2 linked regions of the Lepisosteus oculatus genome follow. The protein of the gene in region 2 purifies or fractionates together with the protein of the main gene of each other region. This does not show direct contact. Links are inferred from orthologs where the notes say so. Each region holds a gene or a part of one and is shown on either strand. Other genes may lie near its edges.

Evidence for each region. The genes of interacting proteins can lie anywhere in the genome.
Region 1: the proteins of ogdhb (region 2) and dlst fractionate together in Homo sapiens (co-fractionation; 3 studies listed by BioGRID). This does not show direct contact. The link is inferred for Lepisosteus oculatus from reciprocal best matches to the Homo sapiens genes OGDH and DLST.

What each region holds. Positions count from the first base shown.
Region 1 is NC_090703.1:9,037,607-9,047,966, reverse strand, and holds the start of dlst (dihydrolipoyllysine-residue succinyltransferase component of 2-oxoglutarate dehydrogenase complex, mitochondrial), read left to right. Parts: upstream 1-6,230; 5' UTR 6,231-6,323; coding exon 6,324-6,386; intron 6,387-9,230; coding exon 9,231-9,264; intron 9,265-9,570; coding exon 9,571-9,613; intron 9,614-10,244; coding exon 10,245-10,306; intron 10,307-10,360. Other genes in the region: prox2 (prospero homeobox protein 2), read right to left, coding at 1-1,074. UniProt on the Homo sapiens protein: Dihydrolipoamide succinyltransferase (E2) component of the 2-oxoglutarate dehydrogenase complex. The 2-oxoglutarate dehydrogenase complex catalyzes the overall conversion of 2-oxoglutarate to succinyl-CoA and CO(2).
Region 2 is NC_090697.1:69,253,214-69,262,596, reverse strand, and holds the start of ogdhb (2-oxoglutarate dehydrogenase complex component E1), read right to left. Parts: upstream 4,351-9,383; 5' UTR 4,190-4,350; intron 1-4,189. UniProt on the Homo sapiens protein: 2-oxoglutarate dehydrogenase (E1o) component of the 2-oxoglutarate dehydrogenase complex (OGDHC). Participates in the first step, rate limiting for the overall conversion of 2-oxoglutarate to succinyl-CoA and CO(2) catalyzed by the whole OGDHC.

The DNA of each region.
Region 1 (10,360 bases), on a different chromosome or scaffold from region 2:
GTCATCTGTGTGTGAATATTCCTGAGCAGCCACGATGATGGTCTTGTTCTCAGGTCCAGTATTATCTTGCACCGAAGTCTGCTCAAAGTTTATTTGAGATGTTTGGCTCAACAATGTAGAAGTGAACTTTTTAAGAACTGAGTCTACGCTCTTGTTCACAGCCCTGGATAACTCGGATTTCAAAGCCTCTGACAGATTCTTGCTCTCTTTATGTAAGGTTGGGAGGCTATTTTCAGTTTGCAGTGTCTCTTTCTGCCTGACTTTAATAGCGTCAAACTTTTTCTCTGCGTCGCTGTCGAGGTCCGCGAGGAGTTCACAGTCCAGGTTCTCCAGAAGGTCTGCGTTACGGTCCTCACCGCCATGCAGTACGAAGCCAGCTGGGTATGTCTCCACCCGGTCCTCATGCTCCAGCTCACTCACATTATAAACTTGGAAGAACTTCTCCTGGAGCTGCCTCAGGTGTCTTTGCATGGCCTGCAGCTGCTCTTTCAGCTTATGGCACTCTTCATCTTTACTGTTGGGTCTGCTGGCTCCACCACTGAGGCTGTGGTTCTGGTGCTGGGGGAGCCTCTGCTTCCTTTTGTTTTCCCGGTAGGTCTCCCTTATATCCCCACCAGTTTCACTCCTGTCTCCTTCTCCAGGCGTCTTTGCGTTAGGAGATCCTGCCATGCCTCTGATGATGTTCTCCACCCTGGCCCGCTTGGCTTGGTGGTGCTCATTCAGTGGTCGGTCACCCTCGGGGCTGGCTGTGGTAGAAGTGTGGCTACCTGGGGAAAGTGGCTCTAGGGTGCTGTCTTTGGATGAGCTGCTGCTTCTGTCCTCCTGGGCGGAATCTCCCATGGTGCAGCTGGAGACCGCAGTGGCAGGCAAGAAGAACACACCCTCCTCCAGAGCTCTCTTACTCTGAATGGTTTTACGCAAAAGCTGAGAAATGATGGATCCATTCGAGTACATATTCAGAGAGCCGTCATACAGATTTTTTCTGAAGGACGAATGGAGGATTTCCCCTTTGTCCTCCTCCAGATAGTTTGCGCTGGAGGAATGCATGTTTGGATCTGAGATGCTGAGGTTCATGTTTAGGGAGGCAATCGTTATTCAAAAAGAACAAAATTTAATGAAGAGATGCCCGAATCAATAAATCTGAAATGTTATCAAGCCCGATGTTGAGGATATCTGAAATAAAGACAAGCATTAAAAAACTTAATGTAAAAGTGTTTTCAATAGCCACCCATGTCCAAAATAAAATTTCCACACACAAATGTGTCTTTAAGATTGATTTTTAAATCACTCTCCCAAAGATCAATAAAATGGCAAAAAATAGATACCGTGAAAGTATTCCACCATAGCCATTGTCTCTTAATTAGAAGTTCTAGTGAGTCAAAATTTATAGAGTTGAATACTGAAACAGTGAAAAATGAATTCTAGCATCATATGAAAATCAACTCTATACATCTATCTGCTGCCACAATTGTATGATATTTTCTTTCAAAAAAATAAGTGTCTAATAAGGTCTGATGTATGATTTGTCTCTATCAATAAAATAGAAGGCAGCCACATCTTTTCTGGATTCCTCAGACATTATGTAAAAATGACATATGCTCTACATTAACGTACAAGTGACGCTCAGCAGCAATACATTGTTGACATTCCTGTTTGTTCAGCCTTATTGTACCAAAAACCATGAACATTTGAGCACAGCTCAGACCACAACACAAACCAATGATGAGTCCAACAATGCAACAATATCCCTCATTCTGCAGTGCTTGGTTTCGATCTTTAGTTTTAGGCTAATCTCATTCAAAAACCTTTCTTGCCAGTATGTATTCACTGTTCTGGTGAAGGACCCTTGCTTCTCACTATAAAGGCAAATTTAAAAAATGCAGAGATTGGGCATCATTAAACTGCAAAATAGCATCCCTTTATCTTGCGTGTTAAAAAAGATTAAAAACACCCTAAAAGATCTTTAATTATGGGACAAAAAGAGAGAATAAGGTCTCCTAAAGACCAAACAGATGAGTAAGATTTATTATTATAAAATATATAAAACACTCTTTTAATCTTTTTATTACTTGAGAAGCTAAAACAGTTGAAAAGTCAGTGATAAAAAATAAAAGACTTAACTACAGACTAATAAAAGATGTAAGGATACTATTATAACAGCACAGCACAATGAAACATGTACTTTCCTTAATGTAAATAATAACTTAAATGCATGAAGTGTTCAGAATAAATCTCTACACAACTCTGAAACAACAGTTTATGTTTAACACTAATATTTGTTTACATAGGCAAAAGCCTTAACTGTTACACGATTATAAATCGTACATGAAGGACATCAGGAATGTTTTGCTACAAAATTGGAAAGGTAGATAAATAACCAGTAACAAAGTCTGAGCCAGTCCATGAAAATTAACCTCAGTAAATTAAAGCATAACCCCTGATTCCTCATATTGTCCTTTTTTATAGCAACACATTGCCATTCCCTTTCAAACATGGGATGTAAATTATGCATTTGCACAGGTAGAACGTTTTCCAAAACCTTAACATATTTATAGCCCTGAAGAGATAATTACAATTTATCAGTAGATCCAAAATCCCAAAATAGGCTCATAGACAGTCTTACAATCAGTAAAAGTAAGAACCACACAGAACAAAGCAGAATGTATAGCTACAAGAATAGTGTTATTGTCGTTGTTGTTCATTTATTACAAGTACAGGTAGATACTAAAATACTGCACATTAATGTGTTACAAAACAGGTACAATTAACATACGCTGCAAATATAATTCCTATTAAAAAAGCATTCTCTATCAGCACCTAGCCAGCTACTGAATTCTTCAGAAACATTTTAATGAATCAAAAAACAATTCTGAAGCTTTTGTATTACTTAATCTTAAAAATAAACCTTTTCTGCATGACTCAGACGTAGTCAACAAGCTGGTAAACCACATACAAATTGTGAACTGAGGTGACAGAAAATCCTATTTTTCTGTAAAAATAAATGCAAATAAATAGGCCAAAGAAACGTTTAGCAAGCATTCTGTCTGTTCATGAAAAGTGAAAACAAAAAGAAAGACTGATGTATTATTAAACCATCATATCAGCCTTGAATACATTAATTGCTTTGGATAATAAAAACTTTATCATCATGCTAACTATATACTGTAACCTGTCTCTAGATTCATTTTGTCAGAGATTATACACCTTATCCCAACTATTAAAGGAATGATGGTTTTGTTTAGAATATTATTGCTGATCTCCATGTAAACTTCACTAGCATTTTACACATCCTGTACAGTGCCTTTCTCAGAACACAGTTTTCAGAATCTCATACATTTAAAGTACACCATTTATTTCATTTGTGTCACAATCACTGATTTTATATCCGCTTCTGAAATATTCTGAAATGACATATTAAAGAGAAAAAGCATCTCAGATGGCAGTTTTATTTATATAGTTTGAGAAAGTTGTTTACATACTAAAAAAAAAAACATCTGTTGATGAAACTTGTAAAAACAGAGCCACATTTGTTACACAGGATGTATGTTTATGAGATATTTGGTTCAACTGAGAAATATTGTTCAGTTGAATTCTTTGTATTGTTTGAGGAATTGTATTTGTGGTGTGTTCTTGAAATAACATTCTTGGGATAGTAAAGCAGACCTTACAATATTGTCAGACATACTAACTTAATGTACCTAAAATGCCCATATTAATTTTTAATGCAATATTAATCCTCAATTTAAGTTAAAAGAATTTAGTGTATGTATAGTACAAGCATTGCTTGTAAAAATGTGACCATATTTAAACGTAATCAAAGTATGTTCAGACTTGGACAAATTTGTGTTAAAATTAACCAACAGGTGAATTTGTTTCTCTCAAATAATTTTTGTAACATTAATAAAACATTAAGGAATCCAGCTTTGGTCTTATTGTTGATTTCAATCAACAAATCTTGATTAAAATCGTGTTGCTCCTGTTTGAACGCAGATTGCTTTGTGTTTTACTCAGCAATTATTTTCCATGTAATGAGAACTGGTCACAAGTGTGCTAGGTTTCAGAATTGGGCAAGTTATTCCACTTAGCTGAATAAAAGAGGAAATGAGGTACAGTAGTTGAGTAGTTGAATACACAACAGTTAATTAGTAACTTTACTTCCCAACAATAAATCAAAGCTTCTCTTACCGTTAAAATGGCATTTACAGTATTAAGCACACTTAAAAACAAGCACAAAAAACTAAGTTCCTTGTTATTTCTCTTTTATCTAAGACATTGGACATATCTTAACTGTAAAAACTATATTACAACAAATCATTTGACTAATTCAAATAAAAACGTTCTTATCCTTATCATCTATGACAGAGTGAAGCATACTCAGGGTACTTCCGTTTTTTCAGTGTTTAGTCTCATTGTGGTTAAATATTAAGAAGTATATAATTCGTAACTAAGGAGTTGAGTATCAATAAATTTAGAAAATGTATTCTAAAGTATAAAATATAAAATCCTACTCAAGATCTGTTACATTGTACCGTGGACAAAATGCTCCATCTTCCTTTTTTCACAAGATATGATGTGAAATGCTATATCACAAGATGTAAATGCATATAAATAACACGTTCTAGGAGTTTGTTAATACATCCTATTTAAAAACATATGTTTGCATTATTATATTTAATCTATAAGTACTTTCCCAAAACTGTTCTTAAAATAAATCTTGCCATACGGTGACCAAAAAATAAATACCAAGTATATAGCAAACCATTACATTGATAGAGGTGTAATACAAACAGGGCACAAGTTATTTGCAACATATTCAAACAAATTGATTATTATCCAGTAAATGCATTTCATGTTCTGCATTCTGACAGATTATTAAAAGCAGTCGGTGTCCTTCCTTAATTACAACAAATTGCTAGTCGACTACAATTATTAATAATATCGACAACATCTAAAGTCTATTTAAAGACGGAGAAATAATCACTTTAACACGGTGTACTACTTGTCCAGAAGATTAAGCTACAAAATGTTGTAGACATATACAGTATTTCTCTACACTTGCAAAGGCACATTATTTGCTTCAACCTGAAATGACTAGGAGTTTTTTTCCCCCACACAATTAAATATTTTTCATTGCCATCTTTCAGTAATGCGGTGAAAGTACAACTTAATAGTAGGAAGATGAATAAACTTGAAAAACAAAATCGGGAACGTTGCAGTTATGTTCTAAAAACAAAAAAAACAAAAGGCGTGTTATTCTGTTCCATAAAGGAAGGACACTTGAGATCGAGGAGGGTTTCTGAGGTTGTCTTACCTGCAGCCCCGCTGAGAAGATGCTACTCCCTATCCCTGCGAGAAAGGTTAAATCAATCCTGAGAGCAGGAGCCTCAAAGGCCGGTCCATGACACAAGGGGCTAGCGGAGGTGTGGTCAGCTCAGGCAAATCGGAGTTCAGCTATGTTAATGAGACGAAAGCGGCGCTGCAGGAGCGGAACATGACAGGGAATTACAAAGTAGCGGTGATGTTCGTTACAATCACATTTCGGTGCATGAACAGCAGATATCTCCCTTTCGTGTTTTTATGCCGTTCAGATAATGCGTTCCTTCTAACGTATCCCTTTTAAAACTCAAGCAGAACAGAGAGCTGTGCTTTCTGATACAGTACAACTGTACGATTTGACTGGGTGTCACAGCCCGATTCTCAGTCCGTGCTATTATAGCCCAGAAATAAAACGACAAGTTTCTGTTGAAAACTCGAGGTGAACTCGCCATTCTACACATTTAGAGTTGTAATAATTAATGAATTATTTGTGAATGAGTTAACTAAGGATAATTATCAATAAAATCTCATCACTCCCGTTTGAACCCCAAGCGTAGTGTTTATTCCAGTAAGCACGAGTTTTTCTGTTGCATTGTAAAGCAATATAAAACAATAAAGATAACTGTAGTAGCATCTGTGGGCAAATCCGAGAAGAGACGTTAAACCATTGCAAAATAAGTCAACGACATTCCTAGTTCTTCACTAGTGAAGAAATCCCATTTTTCACAAAGCAAGAATGTTTAACAAATGCGAGGGTACTTAAAAGAGACAACGTGTGCTTCCCAAATTCCTGTATTTAAAAAAAAAACATTTTTTACTCCTTTTGGATGTTCCTAATCCCTATTCGGTGTTGGTTTGCCCCAACAATCCCAACCTCCCCTCCCCCGTCACTGTTCACGTTGGTTTATCCCAGGTTGTTTCCGCCCTGTGGTTCTGTGTGACAGCTTCTTGGTCGGGTTGTCTGCTGTTGGTTTTCCCCGGTACTGCTACCGCTGTCCTTAGTCGTCATGCTTTCCCACTCCCGGTGTTTCTCCCGGACTCTCGGCCGCTCCCTCTCCGCTCTCAGCCAGGTAGGCTCTTGGAAAAAGCAACCCGCCGTTAGCTCGCTGGGGCTGAATGCGAGAGCCTGGGGTTTGGCAGTGAGGCGGTGGAGTAGGATGTAGGCCGGGGATAGGCCTCACGACACCCCAAGGACAGAGTGACACTCCGTACCCGCGATCGCAGAGCGGCTCCTCTGTAAAACACTGAGAATAAGCACCCTGAGGGTTGAGGGGGCGACTTGAATAATAACGAAATCCGGTCGTATAATCTTTGTATTCTACGGCGTCATTGAAGACACTTTGGGGAAAAACTTCTGCGCTGAAGTGAGGTCATTGATAGGTTGTTCCATTAAAAAAAAACAACACTTGCCGAGTTACATTTGTGCATGTAGCGTTTGCAAATTGCCACTCTGTAGTGCTTTATTTTTTCCCCGTTTTTATTCTGCCCGGCTGTTGTGAATTGATCAACGTAACAGAACAAGGCTGACCTGCAGCTCACATGTTGCCCCTTGACTGAATATTATTAACGGCAGAAGAGAGTGAAGGCACAGCCCAAGGTGGCCTGTGGTGTGTTGAGCGGTCTCTCTTTTAGAATTTAATACGGAGATAAACAAGTTCTGAAACCATAGAAAACAGTAACCAAAGTCGTTTTAACTCTTGGTGATTTTGCAGGTATTGATCATGTATAATAACTGATCTGTTCAGCTAGGTTCACGGTCAGACGGTTGGCGGTTAAGGTGGGGCAGAGTATCCAAATGTCTTGAAATTTCACCCCACTTCAAAGACAGCAGGTCCACCCTGTAGGACCATGTCTGTGATAGTGTTTGAACTCCTGCCTTGCATAAGGAGGTGCATCACAAAGTATTGATGGCCTTTAGAATTCCCCAGTGTTGTGTGGTGTTGCTAAACTCAGCCAATGTTTTCTTACAAACTTAGGCATGTTTAAAATAGTATCACGCATTAAAATCACATGAGTTCTATTTGTAAATTTACATTTCATATTTTAATGAACTGCCGGGTGTATGTATAATATGTATCTTAAATACATTCCAATCGGAATAGAGGAAATTATTTCACACTAAGGGGTGCATTTATTTTGTAGTCCATGACTAAAGAGATGATCAAAACTCCACAAAAGTTCAAAGTAAAACACTGTGCCTTGTTTGGGTACCTGATAGGAGTATTAAAATATATTTTGAATTTTCAATCAGAAATAACATATTTTAAAATAAATAACCATTTGATATGTACAGTTATTAAAATCTTGCAAATATGGTATGATTTATTAGAACTTTGTTTCCACTTATATTTTTTATTCATTATGTAAGCAGCTGTTGTTGTTAAATGTTTTGTGTTAACCTTTATTTGTGTGTTATGTTATAAAACTGGGGGTCAATAAGATTCATTCCCAGTCACCCAGGAATGATCACACTACAACTGCATACTTTTAAAAATAGCTTGAGGGGTGAATGCAGTACTTCAGGTTACTTGGGTACTAGGGCTTATTTGTTTTTTTTCTTTGCAAAATGTCAGTTTTCAAAAACATTTCCCTAAAATACAATTGTAAATTGAGAAAGTTCCCAAACATACTGAAGTAGTTTATTGTATAATTTCCATGTGGTGTATATTTATGTATATTTAAAGAATAATATTTGGCTTAAAGCCATTTGATTTTTTTTTAAACCTGTAGAATGAACATATAGAGTTTTTCTCAATCAGAGCACTCCACTCACAAGTGGTTTTTGGCTGCAGAGAATTGTAAGAAGGCTGGTTTACAAAATCAGTGGCATGCCAAGACAGTATTACTAATGGAGAAAAATTAGCTTGACTCCACAGTCTGAAAATGTTTTGTTGGACAGTGCCTTCAAGATCATTAACAAAAAAGCTATGTATGTGACATTTCACTACCAATATGAGCCAATATAAAACCCACTAAAACCACACCACATTGCTTGCACAAAGGTCAGATGAAGATCTTTTTACTTTAAGAAATGAAAAATCTTTGATGTTTTTTTCTTTACTGAATTTCTGGAAAGATGTGCCATCATTAATGGTATTTATGGTCTGAAAACATTTCTCAGAATAGAAAGATTGCATAATTCTTGTACCTTGCCCCTTTGTGAAACAGTAGTCAAGGCATCCAGTTCTTTCTATATTTCTGTTCTCAGCATAAAATGTGCTGATTAAGAGGTTGTCCTTTTATTGTTATTTTACTCTTGTGTGAAGCTGAGGGTCTGGGCCTGCTGGACATTCTGATTCTTTTGTCGCAGAAGAGATGTAAGGGGAGTCAGGGAGGAGGGGGTCATTATAAAGTATGGTTAGGCTTCTCTTTGTTCTTAACATAAGTTTTTTGTAACAAAATGACAATAGGTACAGTAAGTTGCAGTCAAGTAGTTTTGAGTTGGCCTTTTTCTTCCTCCTGAAAAGAAAGATCGTCTTCAGACTCGAAACACTGAAGTAATTATAAAATGTTTTGCTGAACTGTATATTTTGGTGAGGGATTCCTACAGTCTATTTTATTTGCTATGCTAAAGAAAAATATTACTTTCAGCTTTATCGTGTCTTGTGACAGTTTACTTGTATCCGCAGGTATATTTAATTAAACTGGAGTCACCAGTTATATAAAATATAATTAAACCGGTGTTACCACACGTACGTGAACTGCAGTCCACAGTCCTTTAACCTATTTTTCTTATCTCATTATCTTGTATTTTCATGTATTCTGGAATCAGAATTCATAGAATTGGTCATATCCTATTAATTGAAGAATGGCAATTTACAAACTTGATACAGGTCCAAAATACAAAATGTGTGCTTATGTTAAAACTTATTTTGTGAATAAAAGCATTTCATGTTTTTCTTTTCTTTCAACAGGGTAACAGTGTCTTAGGGAGGAGGGCCATTTCAGGTAAGGATTTTGCCTTTTATTTTCACTGATTTAGCATAATTTAGTTCTGTTGTCGGTCATACACAAAGATTTTATGTCTTATGAATATCCATAAAATTGGTCAAATTCCCCATGAATGATTCATGAACAATTCTACTGGAGATGATAATGCTTATTGAGTACCCTGATTAAATAAAGGGCTTTTGAGAGGTTAAGTACTCTTTACAAAGGACCACTTAAATATACAGTAAGATATTAATAGGATTACTCTATTTAAATAATGGAGTATTGTCATCAGACTGTTAATGTTATCCTTTATCTGTTTAGGCCTTTCTGCTTGTCATCACCTTGCTTATGAGAAGAGCCGTCTGTAAGTGTTCTGTTTTTTTGGAATCTCCTTTTGTCACCCATATATATGTGCATGTGTCTTTATTAATCTCTAAGTCCTCAAGTTAAGTTGAACGGCTCAAAAAAACTTCTCTGAAATTGTCTGGAGTTATATTGCTTTCAAGCAGTATGATTTCCGAGTTGTTTCATTAGTAAGAAAAAATGAGTTCATGATTATAAATGTTCAACATCCTGTAAAGTGCACTTGTTCTATTTATTTTAAACACCTGTGGGTTTGCATTTAAAGTCTTTTAACCAAGGTGAAATTGGGTCTTTTTATGGTTAAAGAAACCTCAGACATAATTTTACTTTTAACGTTCAGGACATCAGTGTTACTATCATTCTTTTACACAAATACCAATACATTGTCAATATTCCCATAAGAGTTTTGAATTGAATTAACTGTTGATTCATTTAACCAATATGATGGAACTGAATAGTTAGTTAAACATTTTAACAGACGTACATTTGCATTACTAGAGTTTTGTCAAGAGTAATTCTCAGTTGTAAAGATAATCGGTATGAAATTAGCTGCTGATAAAGAAAAATGTTAATCGTACAGTAATTCTGCTTTTTTACTATTAAAGCTGCCTGAATAATCACATTTCTTTCAGGGAATGTGGCAGGAGATCTAGTGTCTTCCACATTAGGTACTTTAAGACTTCAGCAGTCTGCAGTAAGTATTCACCTGCCTTGGTCCCATTTAAAATTAAAAATTTGTCTTCAGTTT
Region 2 (9,383 bases):
TGTTGTACTACAAGACCCGAGTCCCGCAGAAGACAGATCATCTTTAATGTTCAAGGAATTTCTATTTACAGAAAGCAGGCCAAACATTCCCAGAACCACAACTATAGCCAGGTCTGATCGCCAAACACTGCAGAGAGACAGCCCTAGTGTCTACTTCAATTTAGCCTACAGGCCTCAGTTGCTTCTGTGCAAGACGTGTACCCTACCTACCTAAAACCCCCAGGCCACCACAATGCACAGACATGCAGTATGGAGACGGAAGGTGTTTTTCTTTACACTGACCCCCAGAGACATTTTGAGAGAGGCGAGAGTAGCCTTAACAACCTGACAAAGGCCTGCCAAATCACAGAAGAACTGAAGAATGACTCTGCTGTCAGAGGAGTTTTCGCTGTAACTGAGACAACAGCTGTAGAGAGAAGTAGAGGTGTTGGATATATAAAAAACACGATGGCACATACACTGTAATCCACTGTGGAATCTGTATATTTGTAAGAGGTGAAAAATGTAACATAAAAGGAAAAGGTGAAATACACTGCGAGTAAAACAACTTTGCTGTACCCTCCCATGTCAAATTCCTTCCCTAAACCTCAACCCTGATTACTTCATTTAGGTATCCAGCGGAGAAAACGGTGACAGTGGGTTTCCTTATTTGGCAAAGCTGTTTCCGTCTGCAGTCTAGGGAAGGAAACGCCCTGCAGTCACCAGTCACCTGAATGGGCCTCTGTCAAGGCCCTTGTGTCAGAGACTCCTCTATCACTTGAGCTCTCAGGGGCTCCTTGTCAAGTAACCCCCCCTTGTCCTGGGGACGCAGGCTGAGGCCCGAGGTCTAGAAGAACCTGAGAACCAAACCTGATTTGTTCAGTTCACGTCCCGAGGGGCAGCACGAGGTCACGTGGGGACCCTCTGCTTCTTACCCAACACCCTCACAGGGCGGGCCAGGGCGTGAGCTGAGCTCCAGGGCTACGGCTCTCCTCTTAATAACACCTAACGCTCTGTCGCATCGCTTCTGGAACCTGCAACATGCAAAGCCTGACTTTTATCACTTGTTTGACAACGCAGGTTCATGCAAGCTTTCGAGCTTATCTCAGGCGTGTCCCCAGGTCAGCCTGTGGTCACACCGAGAACTCAGCTTCAGCTGCCAATGGCTAAGGCCTATTTGGCAAGAGGAAGTGTGCCTTCAGCTTGCAAAGTTGAAATCCACACAGTAGATTTTTTCTCTACTGAGCAGGAAGACAGATCATCGGAGCAGACATGTACAGTCAGTAATGTGGGTCCTGTGCGGGCTCTGCCTACCACAGTCAAGACCTGCAACTCCAAATATTCATTAACTGTGGCTCAGGAACACGTGAGCTGTCTGGCAGCTTGCCCCAGTCAGGATTCTCACAGAGCCAGAAAAGAGATTCAAAGTTTCAGTTTTAAAAACTGCACATATTGGGATCCAGAAATATACACGGGCAGTAAAAAAAAAGAAGGATATGTGGGAGGAGAATTCACGGAAGGTCCAAACTCCATGTCTGCAAGTCAAATCGGAAAAGTCTGACTTTGGTTTGTCCAGTAAGAAATCTAATCAGATGAGCATCACCTGTTCCATCCAAAGGGGTAAAAACAGGATTAAGTGTTCCATGTGCAGCTAATTCATAATCCAAGACAATGTAACCTGAATTCTTCTCGGGACCCTTCCTCTTAAACAAACCAAAAAGACAATTAAAACATTTGTTTGTTCAGCCTTGTCTGGGGGGGGGGCAAAGGGCAACTGCTTGAAACATGAAAGAGAAGAAAGTCCCACAGACTGTCATCATAGGACTCAAATTTCTATGGAGGAAGAAGGTTAAAGATGGAGTCTCGGGCAGAGCTCGCCATGGGACAAGAGGAAGCTGATGCTGGCTGGTGTTTCTGGGCAGGAAAATGAAGATCCACTCAGGTTCAGATCAGGGAAGTGTCAGGCAAACCAGACTACAGGGCACACAGTGGCATGTTTGAGGATACAACAGTAACAACAGAACTCAAGCTGATGGCTCCCCCATCTTCAGGACTGCTCCTGTGCTCCGTATGCAGTCATGTGCTTTCCTGCACAATGTACCACATCAGCAATTACTGTGGCTCTCCCTCGTCTTGCTACAGCAACTGCCGTGAAGTCTAACTCCATCGATCCGTTATCGGAAAACTGCGGATTGCTGATATGCATCCTGGAGCCTCTCTCCCAGTGGTTGGGATACTGTGGATGGGACACAGGTCCGTCACCGGGCCCGCTATACCTAGTCAGCAATTGTTTTTACCAAGTGCTGCGATTCCCTCCCACATTCCAAGCTTCTCACAGAAACAGACCCAGGCTGGAATCGAAGCCAGGACCCAGTTAACTACCATGCTGCCCTCCATTCCATTTGTATTGAGATAAACGTGAGGTGACTAAGCTCCTCGTCCAGTGCACACATACAGACCTCATCCACTCAGTGCTGTACATCACGCTGAAGCTACTATGAATCATCGGCACTCACCACTCACGAGCAGCACAGCACTGATGCGGCTCATCACAGACACCCGTGTCTGTGAAACTCACTCGTTCCTCTACGTTACATCTAAAACTTCACGGTGAAGATTGTGCCGTGTGCACCAAGCCGAACAGCATGAAATGAAAAAATAAGGCCCGCGCCTATGCGCCGCACAAGGTGAGAACACAAGCAGAAGGAATGATCCAGGACCCAGAGAGAGTGGACACCAAGCAACAACGCAGCAAACAGATTGCGACTGCAAACAACGCTAGCAGGCCTGTTGTGAAAGGATGACATGCCTCCTTCCTAAGGTTATTGGAATGCTTTCACAGAGGTACGTTATGATTTTTTTTCCTTCTCCAATTACAGAAGAAGAATGGGCTCCTGTCGACATTCTTGTGCAAGTCCCTGCATCACTCAAGCAGGGCTCTGAACAAGTCACAGGCTTCGCATCCTGCTGGGTAGCCCCAGGACTGTGTGGACTGATCTCCAAGTCCATCAGCACCTTTAAGCCCTGAGATGTATTTCTATCCGTTTCTAATTTTACTGTGAAGATGGTGTACTGTGAAAAGAGATACAAAAGGAGTGCAAGCTCCACATGTAAATGGCCAAGAAAAGATCTTATATAAAAGATCACCTATATGCGAACTGCACACTTTTAATTGTGAAATGCAAGAGATACTTCATTTTTTACATGTTATCTGCTTTTCAAGCCCTTGCTGCTTCTACAGCCATGTATCTTCTGTTCTGTTTGAGCTGAACAGCGTTTGTGGCTGAATAACAGACAACTCAAAAGAGCCCTGTTCAGCACAGACCCAAGAAGAGGCGATGGTGGTTGGGGTAGGTCCCAGCACATAGAACTTTGCCCTTTTGCTCGTTTATTTCTAAGCGTTGGAGTAATTTATGCATTCCTCATTATGTATTGATTGCTGAAGTCAGCATTAAAAAGAAAGACTAGAGTACTGTGCGGGGCTGTAAAAAAAAAAAAGTGTTATCTCGCCTCATGCTTCCAGGAACGCACACAATGTGCGCACACACACGCGCGTTGTGTGTGTATGCGCGGGTCTCTTTTCATGGCAACCCGTAGCCGCAGTGAGTGCAGCAAAACAGCCCTCCTTTAACAACTAGGCAGCTTTCTGCAGCACGGGGACCCGGTCACAGTTCTGCGCTGAACCTCCAGTGAAGTTCCCAGAGAGCCTATGTCCCCCCCGCGTCTTGTTTGTCCCACTAGCGGACTACGCTTATGTCCTGACCTTGCGTCCTCGCTATACTGCACTTTCTCTCCTTAAACTCAACCAAGCCCAGTCCCGCCCGGCTCAGTCCCGCCTCCATCCTTGCTAAAAGCTACGCTGATTGGCTGCGTTAGCAGCAGCCCGCCTACACCGCGGCGGTGCGATTGGGTCGTCGCTACTGTCCATCACTGTGTCCTTTCCTTGCGTACCGGGTTACAGAAACAATTTTGCTAGAATATTTCAGCCACCTTTCCTGCAGGGGAAAGAAACTACAGCCTGGCATTCCCAAGGCCTGCCCGGGAGTTCAGACAGGTACTACAGAAGGTCTGCTCCCATCGCTACCTATTACTAAAAGATCCTAAGTTACTTCTCTATGCCGTCACAGAGATGTGCTTCATTCCCCCGGTTTTTAGTCGCGCCGTTCTTTTTCTAAATGCAACCTATCTAGAAATAATGCAGAGGACTTACGTTTTGTTCTCCTTTAGTCGGTTAGCGGGTGAAAGTCTGTAAGTATTTCGGCGAATATTAGTTAACTAGCGGCTCGGCACCTCACAGCCGCACTGCCCTCCGATTCTCCAGACTGGAAATGACAGCGCGCGGAGCAAGACTACTCCGAGTCCAGGCCTTCTGCGTCACCGCGCTCTGACGTCACGAACAGGAATTTTGGCGTGCCGCACCCTCACGCTGGGAGACGTAACCTTAGCTGAAAGGACGAGCTCGCCGTTTGTTAAGCGTATTGTAGTGCCCGTTAGGAAAAAATATTTTTTGCTAAATAAATATAAAAAAGAAGCAACCGTTTTATTCCTCAGCTTTTTACATTGTGAATTACACGTAGACAAAATAAACTCTTTAGGAAGAAGTTTGCTACTTAAAGTCCTGACGGGAGGAAGCGTCCTGATTTCACGAGGTCCGGTGTTTACTAGTTGGGTTACGCTCGGTGTTAAATCCAGGCCCCGAGCATTGGGAATGTGCGTTGCTAAAGGTTTTGTCACACCGTGCTGTGTGTGAGTGGGGAGCCTCCCTAACCTCTTTAAGATGAGTTCACCTGTGTGTTGCTGTGGTCTTGGCCCCTAGAGACCAGAAATCTGCCGCTGCTAGGTGACAGGATGGGATGTGAATGGGAAACTCTAGAGCAGCCTTTGGACAGTCATCCCTGCTGATGTAATGAAGGGCTTGGTGGGAGTAGGCCAAGGGTGGTTTCTCACCCTGGTTACAGTCCGCATGAGGCGTGCCTGCTCCTGACCAGCTGTGCTCCTCTCCCACCTCAGCAGAGAGGCCGCTGCTGCCCTTCCTGAGGCCAAAGAGTGGTGGTCAGTTTTACAGCTGTGTGAGAAGTGAAAACTCTGTCCACCCCCACCCCAAACACCACTGCGTGAAACGCTGTCAATTCAAGCTTTATCTTTTTCAATTCAAGCTTTATTGTCCCCTAGGGGAAATTAGTTTCACGACACAAACACAACACAATGACAAATGCACATCATCAAAAGGGAAGAGAATACAGAAGTGTTACAGGAGAAAAGAAACAAGAGACAAGGTAGTGACTTTGCATTGTTCAAGAGTGATTGCAGTGGGGACGAAAGATTTCCTGAGTCTGTTGGTTTTATACCTGGGGGGCACAGAGGCATTTCCCAGATGGGAGAAGTGTGAATTCACAATGGAGGGGGTGAGACACACACTCCCTGATGCTTTTGGCTTTCTTAGTCACCCTCTGTTTGTAAAGGATGCTTAAGTTGAGGGGTGAGTCAGAGAGGCCCTTCCCCCAGTGCAAGCTGCACCAGTCTCAGAAAGCGCTGTGCCAGTGTGATTCTGAAGTCTCTGTGCAGGCCTGCTGCCTGGTACAGAAACATGCTGTATGTCTGTCTCACCTGCATCTGTATAGCTGGTGTGGGAGCACAGTCCATCTGCGTCCGTGCAGGCCTGCTGCCTGGTGCAGAAACATGCTGTGTGTCTGTCTCACCTGTGTCTGTATAGCTGTCTTTGGGTGTGGGAGCACAGTCCATCTGTCGATGTGAGAGGCTGCGTGCGGGTGTTGTGTACATGTGCCTCCGGGGGTGTGCGTGATCTCGCTGTTATCACTTCGCCTGTGATAGTGAGTGCTGGTGGGGGGGGGCGGGGGGGGGTCAGGAGGAGAGACTTTGTCCTTTGTTGTGCAAGGAGGAGCTGGACTCTGCTCACACCAGCCTTGCAGCATCAGCACAGCGGGGCGCCGAAGGGGTGCCGGGGGGGGGGCGCATCTGTGGCCAGGTGGAGGGGTCAGAGGGGGATCACGTCCGCAGGTGCGTCGATACGAGAGCCGTCATTTCCACGTCACGAGAGGTTTCTGCCCTGTCAGCTGGTGCAAGTGCATTCCTCCTCTCTGCCAGAAATCAGCGAGACAGCAGCTGGCAATGAGGAAAGGGAACTCTTCGTCCGCCGGACAGACTGCAGGAGACACCGGTCACCACAGGGTGTCATCACCTTGCCCGGAACACTATAACTTCCTCGTTTTATCAGCTTTTGCTCAGTGGCAGCTAAAGAATCTGGCTATTCCATCCACCCATCCCTTTTTAAATTCTTTATTTAATTAAGGGTTGTGGGGGAGTGCCTATCCCAACAAGAAACAGGCACAAGGACACCCTGGACAAGACAGGACGGCACTCCATCACCGGGCACACAGACTCGCACCAGGGCCAATTTTCCCAGATGCCAACTCACCCAGTATGTCTTTGAACTGTAGGAGGAAACTGGAGCACCCAGAGGAAACCCATGTGGACCTGGGAAAAACATACAAACTCCTCACAGACAGTACTCCAGGTGCTACAAGGCAGCCATGCTAGCCAACGATAAAAAGACATTTTAATTAGTTTAAGCCAGGATCCACTGGATCAGCTACAGTCCTTCTGGCATTTTCAATGTTTTTCAGACAGAGGAAACGACAACAGCAAGGAGAAAGAGAGAGAGAGAGAAGGGAGGGCTTATATTGAAGTTGTTGCTTTTATTGATAACATTTTAACACATTTCCTTAAGTCAGAGAACACATAGAGCACATCGGAGAACAGTAATCATCAGAATAATCATCCGAGAAATAGAGTAGTTTAATATCTTCATAGAAACCAGAACTGACAGAAACAAAAAAGAAAAGAAAAGAAGGTTTTAAACTGCGGAGAAACTATACTTTGAAAAGAAGGACAAGGGGGGGAAGAAAGGCAGAAGGAATACTACAAAGAGTCGTCAGCTCGGTGTTGTCAGGCAGCAGGAGGAGAGAGAGAGAGCAGCGTCGTACAGAGCCGAAGAGCTGAGCGGACGCAGGACCACCTCTCCGCGGGGCAGGCGGCTTGACCCTGGGCTGGAGGAGCGACGAGAACCCCGAGCGAGTCCGGGTAAGCCCCTCCCCCCCAGCTGCTGCCCCTCCCTTTCTTGTTTCGGAAGGGCGGTGTGGTTCCCCCGCCAGCTCCCCCCCACCCTCGCTGCGGGACCCTGCAGTGGGACTGTGACGGGAAGAGCGAATCATGCTACACGGATGTTAAGGTCCTGTCGTCTTCCGGCGGCGCTGCTAGGGGCACTGGGCGAGGACCAGGGCTGCACTGGCCTTCAAGCGACACCTGAGCGCCTGCCGGCCACTACCGCACAAGCTGCGTGGAAGTGCTGGAGTGTCCTAGTGTCGCATCGTGGGCGCCTCCTGCTGCGATAAAGGGCCCGGGATTAAGATTAAATCTGCACCATTTATTACAAACGTGCCACACCCTTGTCTTTAGTTTTAGTGTCCTTGGAATAATTTAGTTTTCAAGCCACAATGCTGTTTGTCCTCTAAACCAGGTCAATCGAGATAAAAGATTATAAAACACATTAGATCTACCCTGAAGAGAAAACAGAATCGAAAATTTGGACCCCGATGGAGATAAGGAATAAACTGTTTTAAACTTTTGTTTTTACCAAGGTGCAACTGCATTGTAAAAACTGTGCCTTCCACATATCATGTTTAAATAAACATGGCATTTTCAATCACACGCAAGCTCTTAACAACAAACGAAAATAATTACTGTTCTATCAGCCATTATTCTTCACTTTTTAATCGAAAATTTGACAGCATTGGATTGCGCCATCTAGCGTACGTGTACGTAGACCGCAGGTCTTATTTACAAAGGAAATTCAGCAGGATTAAAAGCAAACGTATACTGTTTTCTTCGGACACCCGGCAGCTCACGTACAGGTTTGTCTGGAGTTTCAGACTGAAAAAACAAGAGAATTCAAGAGCGAAATAACTGTAACCCATAACCGAGGTGTTGAAAAGTGATGGACTGCGCTGAATTTCAAACCAAGTAACAACAGTCTTGCGAGTGGTCATGGCTTCGTGATCGTAAACTGTATTTTGACCCTTTTAAAAATAGACGATTGACTGAAGAATTTTGATTTGATTTAGTGGAGCAGCGGTTTCCCCGCTACAGGTGTACGGCGTGGAAGGCCCCACGCGGGGCATCAACAAGCGCAGACTTTGCATTCGCACGAGGCTACGGGAGCGGAACCTGCTGCAGCTGAAGTAGAGCAGTCTTCTCTTTAAAAGGCTTCCGAAAAGGCGAGACCAGTGTACAGTGTTTGACTGAAAACAAAAAGAATAAACATATCCGTAGGTTTGAGGGGGCGGAGAAACAGAACGGCTCTCCTGTCGACTGAAAATAGGGTTTCAGGCGCCCTATCACAGGTGGTTCACAGGTGGTTCACGGGTGTTGAACGTCCGAAACCACGCTACCAGGTTAAGAAGAACCAGCCCTAGCGGTCAATACAAGTATTGCAATCCCCCCCAAAAAAGACGAAAACCGATGCAAGTCGTCTCTCATCTCGATTTTTTTTTCACCCAAACAAAGGGGGAGGAAATTATTCTCCTTCCCTGAGAATGCAATTAAAACAATGGAAGATGATTTAGTAGCTAGACAAGAGTTGGGAAAAGAAGACTCTGTAACAGAGTGAAATGGGTCAGGCTCCTCTGGCAGTGCTTGAGAGGAGCTGGCGGTAGCTAAGACCATCAGCTGGGCCCGCCAGGAGATGGTGTGACTGGTGTAGAGCCCACCCCCCTCGCCCCCTCCCTGGACCGGCAGCTGTGAGAAGCATGAACAGGTCCCAGCCCCGCAGACCACAGGAGGCATGTCTTTCTGCTCCGGTAAGAGCCTGCGGCAAGGCCAGAACACTCTACAGCTCCCTCTTCGGAAGAGGCCAGCACCTCGGAGATGAAGAAGAAAGAACATAAGACTGGTCACCAGGAGACGCGGAGGAACGCAGGCTGCAGTCTGGTGTGCTCAAGTGAGATGAGCTTGACTTGGGAGAAGAGAGCTGAAGCCTGGTCCAGAAACTCTCCTGAAGAGGAGATCATGTGACCTTGGAGGGGGGCTCACAGTTCCACAGACCTGCAGTTGTTCCAGCTGCCAGGAACATGTGACTGGGACCCTTTGGTTCCAGAAAAGGACAAACGCATGGCCAGACTTTCAGTCATAGCCGTCAGGCTTTTCCATGGAAGACTGTCGGGCTTCGAGAAACTCTCCAGAACCCCAAGCAGAGGAGCCAGCAAGATGCTGAACTGGGAAAACTGCAGCAAAAGTCCATTGCATTGACCTGTGACCTGAGGGAGAAGAATGAGGTCCTACAGCCTAATGAAGAGCAGAAGAAGAGTCAGTGTGGTCATCTGAGACAC